2 linked regions of the Caenorhabditis elegans genome follow. The protein of the gene in region 1 purifies or fractionates together with the protein of each later gene. This does not show direct contact. Each region holds a gene or a part of one and is shown in the gene's direction. Other genes may lie near its edges.

Region 1 (3,663 bases):
AGCAAACTGTTTTTCTCCCGAAAAAGCATACTTATCATCTGGTTTTTTTTGCTGAAAATGTCCAGAATTCGTTCTAATAACGACAATATTATAATATTAACAGGTAATTTATTTTTTTAATCTATTATATCTTGCTAAATTTGAATTCGTCAGTAGCTTCAATGCTAAAAGCGGAATAACAATTTAAAAAAACTTTAATAAATGTTTATTTTTGAGGAAAACAACTCTATAAACACCAATTCATTGTTAAACATTACAAATGAACATTTTTTGGGATTTTTTTTCAGATGAACAACGAAAAACAGTTGGTCGCATCGCCGGTCGTTCACAGAACAGAAATACATCGAAAAAAATTGCCGATGGCCCATATTTTTTGCCGAGATACAGTTCGTTTTAATATATTTTATGTATTTTTCTGCAGGAAAGCTTTTACATCAATGTTTTCCAATAAAAAACTAAATAGTTAATTTCAGGAATTCGAGACAATGCAGAGAGATCAGTAGGTGCACGTTTCAAGAGTCTTCCACAAAAAGAACAAGACGAAGTAGTGAATGAAGCTTTTTCGAATCTTCGAGAATATTTGAAAAAGAGGGAACCTTTCTATGTTAGTAATTTTTAAAAACATGGAATTTTACTGATTATTTTCCAGGCAAAGCTCCGGAAAGCTAACTCCAAGTATTCCTCAAAGCCCAAAGAAAGAGAAAAATCTGTCGACTCCAATGACGAAGCTGATAGACGCAATAAGGGAAATAAGAAAACTCAAAAAAATGCGAGTAAGAACTGCCAAATTGAGAAATCGTCGAATAATTCTGGAATTCTCAAAAAAAGTGGATCAGGAATCAGCGTGGCTTCTAAACCAAAAAAATCAGTTGCATTTGGTACGGAAATCCAAGAGAAGTCAATTTTCCAATATATTACAAATTTCAGCACCAGGAGTATACGAAGATTTAAGCACCGACGATGATTTAGAGTTTTTAAATTCTGTGATTGTCAACAGTGATCGTCCAACTTCACAGTGTGGTAAGTAAACTCACATCAACATTAATGAAAGACACGATTTAATTTCGCGAAATTTTGCAATTTTGGCTACAATAATACGGTATTTAGTCTAGACACGACAAACTTGTTTTAAGCACAGGTTTAACGGGTGTGCGCCTTTAAAGATTACTGTAGTTCCGAATTTTTTTCTGCCGAATCTTCATCGAGTTTAGTTTTCCGATTTTCAGATAAATTGTTTTTGTTCCAGATAATCCGGCACGTAGAATGTGTGGAAGACCGCCAACAAAACACAGGGACACTGAACAGTCACAGGAAATCACTGGAAGCAAGAAGCAGAAAGTATGTGGAATTTTTTCAACTTTTTTTGCAAATTTTAATATCCTTATACAACGGAAATTAAATCAATAAAGCTTTATGAAAATGTTAATATTTCAGATTTTTCCGACTCCTCACGAAAAACCTGCCTGGTGGTCATTCCGCATTCCAAAAAAACGCGCTCAATAATTCGTGGTTTAATAATAGTAGTTTTTATATCCCCCCAGTATTATCTGTAAAATAAGATCTCATGTTCCATTTTATTTTGTTTATGTTTGTATCAAATATTCAAGTTAATAAAAAAAAAAATTTATTTATTGCGGCTAGGGGACTCGAGTGCCATGTTTGCACGTAAAGCATAGTGACGAGCGGAACCCTCGAGATGTCCGGACACTCGGGCATATAACTGTCCTCTCGTCAGTGGTATTGCCGCTATTTATAAACGCTCTCAGGGCCTTGCAAAAGACCCAGTGAACAATTTTTGGAGAACCCTGTCCTTTCGAGGTCAGGGTAAATGTTAGATTTCCAGAATCCGAGATAACGAGAATTTCGTTGTTTACAAATCGAACAGAAAGTAGAATTAATTGGTCTCGGAACGTCATCCTTATCACAAACACACCTACAATATCCCGATCCCAACCCTTTTTCATATGTTTTTTTTTCATTTGAATTCATATCAATTGACCTCTAAACTTGGTATATAAAAGCAACGTGTCTGATAAAGAAAAACCGACGAGAAAACAACATGAAATCTATTATCATTTTATCAGTTTTCTTAGTTTGTTCCGCGTTGGCTGCCAGTTCTGATAAGGATACTGAATCAAAAGTGGCCAGATATTTGAAATCCTGTGGAGTTATCACTTCATTGAAGACTACTAAATGTGTTAAGGTGGGTTTTATAAAATTGTTCAAGCAGGCTTCAATTGTCATGATTGCTCATGCAGTTCTTATTTTGGTGGAATTTCAAACATGGAGATTTATCACAGTAGTCCTTTTTTGTTGTACTTGCTGCATTTCGAACTATTTCCGTCATTTTAATAAAAAAAACACTTTTAGAGAAGCGATGAAGTAGATAAGGAGCTCAAAGCTCTCGTAAAGAGCAAAGACAAGGATCTCTCAAAAGTCAAGGCTTCGTGCAAAGACACCATGGTGGGTAACATCAGTGATATTAAAAACTTCTCAAATGTGTTTCAGGAATGCATTAAAGAGCTGAAATGTAAACCACTCGAAGAAGATCACAAGGAGACTCTCGACTTCTGTGGTCGTGCTCTTTTCCAGGACGAGTTCAAGGATTGCAGCAAGAAATTGCAGGCATTGAAGAAAAGTGATAAGGATGCTGCAAAGTGTTTGGAAGATTTTAAATCAGAGACAAAGAAGTCGACAAAGGACACTTGCACATTTTTGAAGGGCTCGAAAGATTGTATCAAGGCTCATATTAAGAAAGAGTGCGGGGATGATAAGTTGCAGGGATGGCAGAAGGTAAGCGGATGATGTCTTAGAAATCGGTTTAGGCTTCGGCGCAGGCCTTAAACTTAGATGCTTAGGCTTAGGCTTAGAGAGCCTCAAACTTTCATTTTCATTTCCACCAACTTTTCTAAATTTCTATTTTTCAGTTTGCTCAAGACTCGTTCAAAGAGAACGAATGCGAGAAGGCAATTGGAGCAAAATGGAACTAACTTCATTAAATGTTCTTCGATTTCTTGTTCCTTGTTACAGTAACCCTGCAAAACTGCAATAATTAATTTAAAAGTCTTTAAAATTCCGGTTGAGTACCCATTCCTCCCTCCTACATTCTTCATTTCTTCAAAGGGTTTCTCTCCAGGTACCAATAAAATTTTTAACGCGGTCATTAGAACAGAAAACAGATAAACTGGAGCAGGCGAAGAGACGCAGGAAAATAGAAAAAAGATGAGACAGAAATGAGATCAGTGAGTGGAAGAATGAATCAAGAAGAAGAAAATATTTGTGTTTCTCTTCGGTGGTTTTTTCATTCAATCTCTCCAATTTTTCTCTTGCTTTGATATCCAATTGATACGAGTCTACGTGGAGCTCACTGAGCAAATCGTAGAAATATTCAGATTTCAGATGCTTCGGGTTCTAACATTGATACTCTTTCTTGTCTCCTTGTCATATGGATTTCTTGAAGAAGCCGAAGGTGTAGACCCTGGGAATCGAGTATGTGATCCAGATGAAGAACGAGCTGCACAGAGCTGTAAAAATGTGAGTCGAATAGATTGAACTGTCCGCTAGAGAGCAGAGCTTTTTCAAAAATGAATAATGAAATCTTGAAAAGCTGTGAGATTTCTCTTCAAAATGATATAGCAACTTGCGTGACTTTGATGTTTAAGC
Region 2 (4,999 bases), on another chromosome or scaffold:
AAGAGTGTTTTATTTTGATTTTTGAAAAACAATAACAATGCTTGATGATTGACGTTATTACAATAATAATAATAATTCATTTTCTTTAGGGAAAAGTGAAAATTCATGAGGATGTGAGCGACGAGTTGTTGATCTACTTGTCCGTGTCGACCACTGGTGACACTCAAAGACCACCGGAAGTGTGCAGGGATGCCAATCCGGACACTGGTTGTGGAGGTGTTGGATCATGGTAATGAGTTATTGACAGAAATATTAGGGAAATCATCAAGATTCTAGAGCTAGAAAAAACATTAGGAAATGAAAAAAAAGCCTTTTGAGCAGTTAATGATAGATGAACAGCTGTGAAGTACCTAAAAGTTTTAAGTTAGAGGTCACTCTTAAAACAAAAAGTATAACTATAACAATTTCATACATAAGTGTTTAACCTGCAAAATAAATTAAAAAAAAAGAACTGAAGAGAGTGGGATTCGAACCCACGCCCCCGAAGGGACTGGTGCCTTAAACCAGCGCCTTAGACCGCTCGGCCATCTCTCCACGTACTACGCTATCATAATTTGTCGTTATGTTATAACTTCAAACAACAAGATTTAGTTGTATTTCGATGATTACGAAATTTAAATTTTCGAACTTGAAAATTTGTTGTTTTGTTGTTTCCAAAAAATGACGTAAACACTGCTGTTTCAGTCTCTACTGCCGGCCATGTGATTCTTTGGACTCTCTCACGAAAATTCTCGGAGCTCAACTTGTTGTGAACGGCAAACCAGCAGGATGTGAGCCATTAAAAGTGAGCAACATCGTTAAAAAAAATTTACGATGCAGTCAATAACACTATTTTTAGAAAGGAGAATATGATAATGTTGAACTCCGTTTCTGCCTTCCGAAATTAGCTGCATTGTTGGAATGGCAGGGAATTTCAGAAGACGCGTTAGATCACATTTTAGCTGCTACTACTCAGGTTTGACAAAATGAAAATAATTATTGAAAGAAAAAGTGTGTTTCAGGAAGGAAATGGTCCACCAAAGCTTAGTCTATTTGTGACCGTTTATTTGTTCGACAAGGATATTAAACCTCTTCTAGTGTAAGTTCTGAAAATTAAATAGGTTTTAGCCAGATTTACAGTTTCATATACCATCTAACAACCATTCACTATATTCGAGACATATATGTCACATACATTACAGCTATATGAAAAATAACACTATTTTTCACGAGTAGAAAATTTTTAAACAAATAGAAAAATGAAATAATTTCAGCTCTCAACGAAAACTAGAATCTCGCATCCGTGAACTTCGCAAACTTGGCGCTGATGAGCCAGTTGACTCTCAAACTTATTGGAATCTGCCATTCAATCAAATTATCAAAAAGCAGTCAGTTTTCGTTGGATGTCACAAACTTTACGGAACCATTAGCTTGAGCGACATTCAAGCCAAGAAGAAATAAGAAAATATATTTGGATGAACAACGATGATAACTTCATGTTTATTCATTTCGTTTATGCGGGTTCATTTTTTGTGAATTATGAAATAAACACAATAAAAATTATGAATTAGATAAGCAAATTGATCTTGACATTTAATAAATAACAGTCAATCTTTATGGTGATACTGTGCTCAAAGACTCGTTGTGTAAAAAACAACAGTTTTGTCTGGTATCCTTTTGAGTATGTTTTTTTACATTTCTTCAATATGCATTTTATTCAATACAACCTCAATATTTTGCTAGCCTCAAAATGTTTCTGGGATTTTGTTCAAAGTATTCTGTATACCCTTTACTTCTAGAATTTTTATTCTTGTGTATACAACAGTACACGAATTCTACAGAAAAATCTTGCAAAGTTACTAATAGTAAGGAAAACTGGAACTATATATGTTGTTGGTTAGAGATCATAAAGTGATATTTATGTAACACATCTGTAAAACTTTATTGCATTTGTTCTCACTACTAGTTGAAGGACATAAGGCTTTTGATTCATTATTTTCCTTTTTTTTTACTTTTTTCCCCTTTCCTTTTCTTTTAATCTCTTCATCTTTTCAGAATCTCATAACCTTCATGACCTCGAAACGCCATCCGACAATCATTTCACATTGAGGTAAAAGTAACACGAAAAAGAAAGAAAAAACGAGAAAAGTGGTTTTGATGGCTGTCAGACTTTTATTACACATTTGTACAATTCATATCTATATTCCCCTTTCACCCCCACCGTCACTGTAAACTATTCTAAAATCCAGCTGAAAAGGGGTGTGAAAGAAGGGCACGTCCTCGTCGCTTACTTCATAAGCCATGACACCTTCATTTGCGCATCGGTTTCAGTCGCAGATGTTGGTCGTTTTCTTAGCTTCATCGTGTCTTTTCGTTTCCATTTCCAACGCGTTGGAAAACGTTGAGTTGGGAAAAGATCTGAGTGTAACTCTTGAACTCATCAAACATCAACCATGCAAAAGTAGGTTTACGAGATTTTAAACCAAAGCTTATTTGGTTTTCAGGTGGTAAATGGACAAAGAAGTTAGAATTCGAGTCTGGAAATGATAGGAGAGGCCCGAAACTTGAACCACAAGCCGATAAGCCAAACTGTTTTACTATCGGAGGCCAAGTAGAAGTTCTAGAGGTAAAATATTGTGCTTTTTGTTTTGTTAATATTCCGTGTCTTGAAGGAGGACTAACGGTTTGGATGATTTTGAACGTTCAAACCCAAAATGAGCTCAAATAAACGAGTTTCGTAAGGAAACTTCTGATAAATTTTTCAAAATTTTTTTATGGCGGTTCAAAATTTTGAAAAAAAAATACACTGATTTTAGCTAAAATCTCGATTTTTGGCAACTTTTCCGTGTCGCAGCGGGGGACGTAGTTGACTTTTTTGGAATCATCGCCCTTTATTGCATATTTTGGTAGTTTATCTCATCCAATTTCATTGATTAAGGCACATTTAAAGCCGACAGGTAACCAATTTTGATGATTTTTGGTTACCTATCGGGTTTAAATCAATGAAATGTGATGATAAAAAATTACCAAAAGATGCAGGAGGATAATTCCAAAAAAGACAACTTCGGACCGCTGCGACACGGAAAAGTGGCCGAAAATTGAGATTTTAGCGAAAATCAGTGTATTTTTTTTCAAAATTTATTCATTCCAGCCCAATTCGGATTTATACGTTCAAAATCGTCCGAACCGTTAGTCCGCCTTTAAGACCGTGTTTTTAAGAACATCAACACAATCTGTATCTTTAAATGTAGTCTGTACAATTTAAAAATCACTAAATTATACCTTACTGAATTATTATTGGGCAAATTGAATTTTTTTATGCCAACGTGACAACGTGACAACATTTTAAATCAATATCATTCAAAACTTAATGTTTTTTTTCAGTATTTGTGTAGCGTATCAAAAGTTTAAAAATTATCTTACCCTGAGAAATAAAGAATTCATCACAACTTCTTATTACTCTCTAAGTATATACTTTGAATGAACAATAAAGCTACATAAAAAAATAAATTGAAACTCTCTATTTCAGGACTTTGGCGGAGATTTCTCCATTTATCTTGAGCTGAAGAACACTGCCAAAAAAAATACTGTCCCAGAGAAATGTGTTCGACAACCTGAAAACGGATGTGGAGGATTTGGGTCTTGGTTTGTTGCTATTAATTAATGTTGTCATACAATATTGATTTATCTTTTTTTCAGCCTGTACTGCAATGCATGTGAAACATTCGGTGACAAATTAGGAGTTCGAGCACAGCTGCTCCTCGATGGTCAACCAATCAGCTGCGCTGACGGATTGAAAAAAGGCAGCTATGACAACTTGAAGCTTGCTTTCTGTCTTCCAGACATTGATGATGTCATCAGCTCACAAGGGCTTAGTAAGGAGTCATTCTTGCAGCTGATTCAGGGTGATGTAAGTCTAAAGGTCAAAAAAGCAAAAACTGGCTGGAAATTTCAGGACGGAAACTCTGTTCGTGCTATGGGGATCTTTGCTACAGTCTACGTGTTTGACTCTGACGTCAGCAAACAAATGGCGACTCAAATCAAAATCGAGGGTGTATACCGTAGAACCAAGTACAGTTTTTTCAAGGTAAATCACAAGCTGAATTTTTCTCTTTTTAAAAGAGTATTTCAAAAATGTTACAGGACACTCAACTTCCGGCTGAAGTCTACTGGTCTCTTCCATTCAATCAAATTATCAAAAACCAACAAAGCTACGTGGCATGCCATAAGATTTACGGAAACTTGAAAGTTAACCGTAAATAATTTGTGATTTTCTAACCTAATTTTGCTTGTCTGTAAATAAATTTATTATTTTTTGAAATTTTTTGTGACTGTAAATCATACGATTTGGTGGCCCATGAAACAGTTGACGTGAAATAATACGTGCAAAGGAAGATTTATAACAATCAAATTCAGCAAAGAAAATAACAAGGAAGCTATTTCTGTGGGTGGCAAAAGTTTGACAACACAAACAATTTTATGGACTTCAAACTAAACAGTATAAAAACTGAGACCCGGCCATTACTTTGTATTACATTTTTAAATTAGTCAAATATTTTCAGAGCAAGAACCTGTTTTATTATATTATGGGTTACACATTTTATCTTGCGAGCTATACTTAAAAACCGACTGTTAATATAAATGTTCCATGGAGCCTAAAAATGTATGATTTTGTTACAACTCATTGATAACCATAGTGCCGCTCACTATAGAAATGACACAATGGACAAGAAAAGATCAAAATTTATCCAAAAAAGATAGGTTCCACCGAGATTTGAACTCGGGTCGCAGGATTCAAAGTCCTGAGTGCTAACCGCTACACCATGGAACCCGGTGAGCTTCGAGAACTTGCTCCGAAAGAACATTCGGTTAATAGACATGCTGAGTTTGCTAATGCACTTATCGGGAAGGCCCAGTCGCTCAGTTAGCAGTGAGCACATGAGCGGCTACAATGTGCTAAAGAGTGTCTATCGCAGCGATCAACATTTCTAAATGTCAATTCTGATAGCAAAGTTTTATG

Evidence for each region.
Region 2: the proteins of D1086.3 (region 1) and gmap-3 fractionate together in Caenorhabditis elegans (co-fractionation; one large-scale study listed by BioGRID). This does not show direct contact.

Annotation. Positions count from the first base shown.
Region 1 is NC_003283.11:14,090,824-14,094,486, forward strand, and holds D1086.3 (T20D4.11-like domain-containing protein), read left to right. Parts: upstream 1-1,968; 5' UTR 1,969-2,059; coding exon 2,060-2,203; intron 2,204-2,370; coding exon 2,371-2,463; intron 2,464-2,508; coding exon 2,509-2,793; intron 2,794-2,927; coding exon 2,928-2,990; 3' UTR 2,991-3,163; downstream 3,164-3,663. Other genes in the region: him-5 (High Incidence of Males (increased X chromosome loss)), read left to right, coding at 58-103, 288-386, 474-604, 650-878, 928-1,020, 1,247-1,338, 1,435-1,503; D1086.8 (T20D4.11-like domain-containing protein), read left to right, coding at 3,400-3,534.
Region 2 is NC_003284.9:12,937,993-12,942,991, reverse strand, and holds gmap-3 (GM2 Activator Protein family member), read left to right. Parts: upstream 1-2,033; 5' UTR 2,034-2,280; coding exon 2,281-2,440; intron 2,441-2,483; coding exon 2,484-2,605; intron 2,606-3,508; coding exon 3,509-3,624; intron 3,625-3,678; coding exon 3,679-3,889; intron 3,890-3,934; coding exon 3,935-4,066; intron 4,067-4,122; coding exon 4,123-4,242; 3' UTR 4,243-4,297; downstream 4,298-4,999. Other genes in the region: gmap-2 (GM2 Activator Protein family member), read left to right, coding at 90-229, 685-784, 839-955, 1,002-1,078, 1,254-1,440.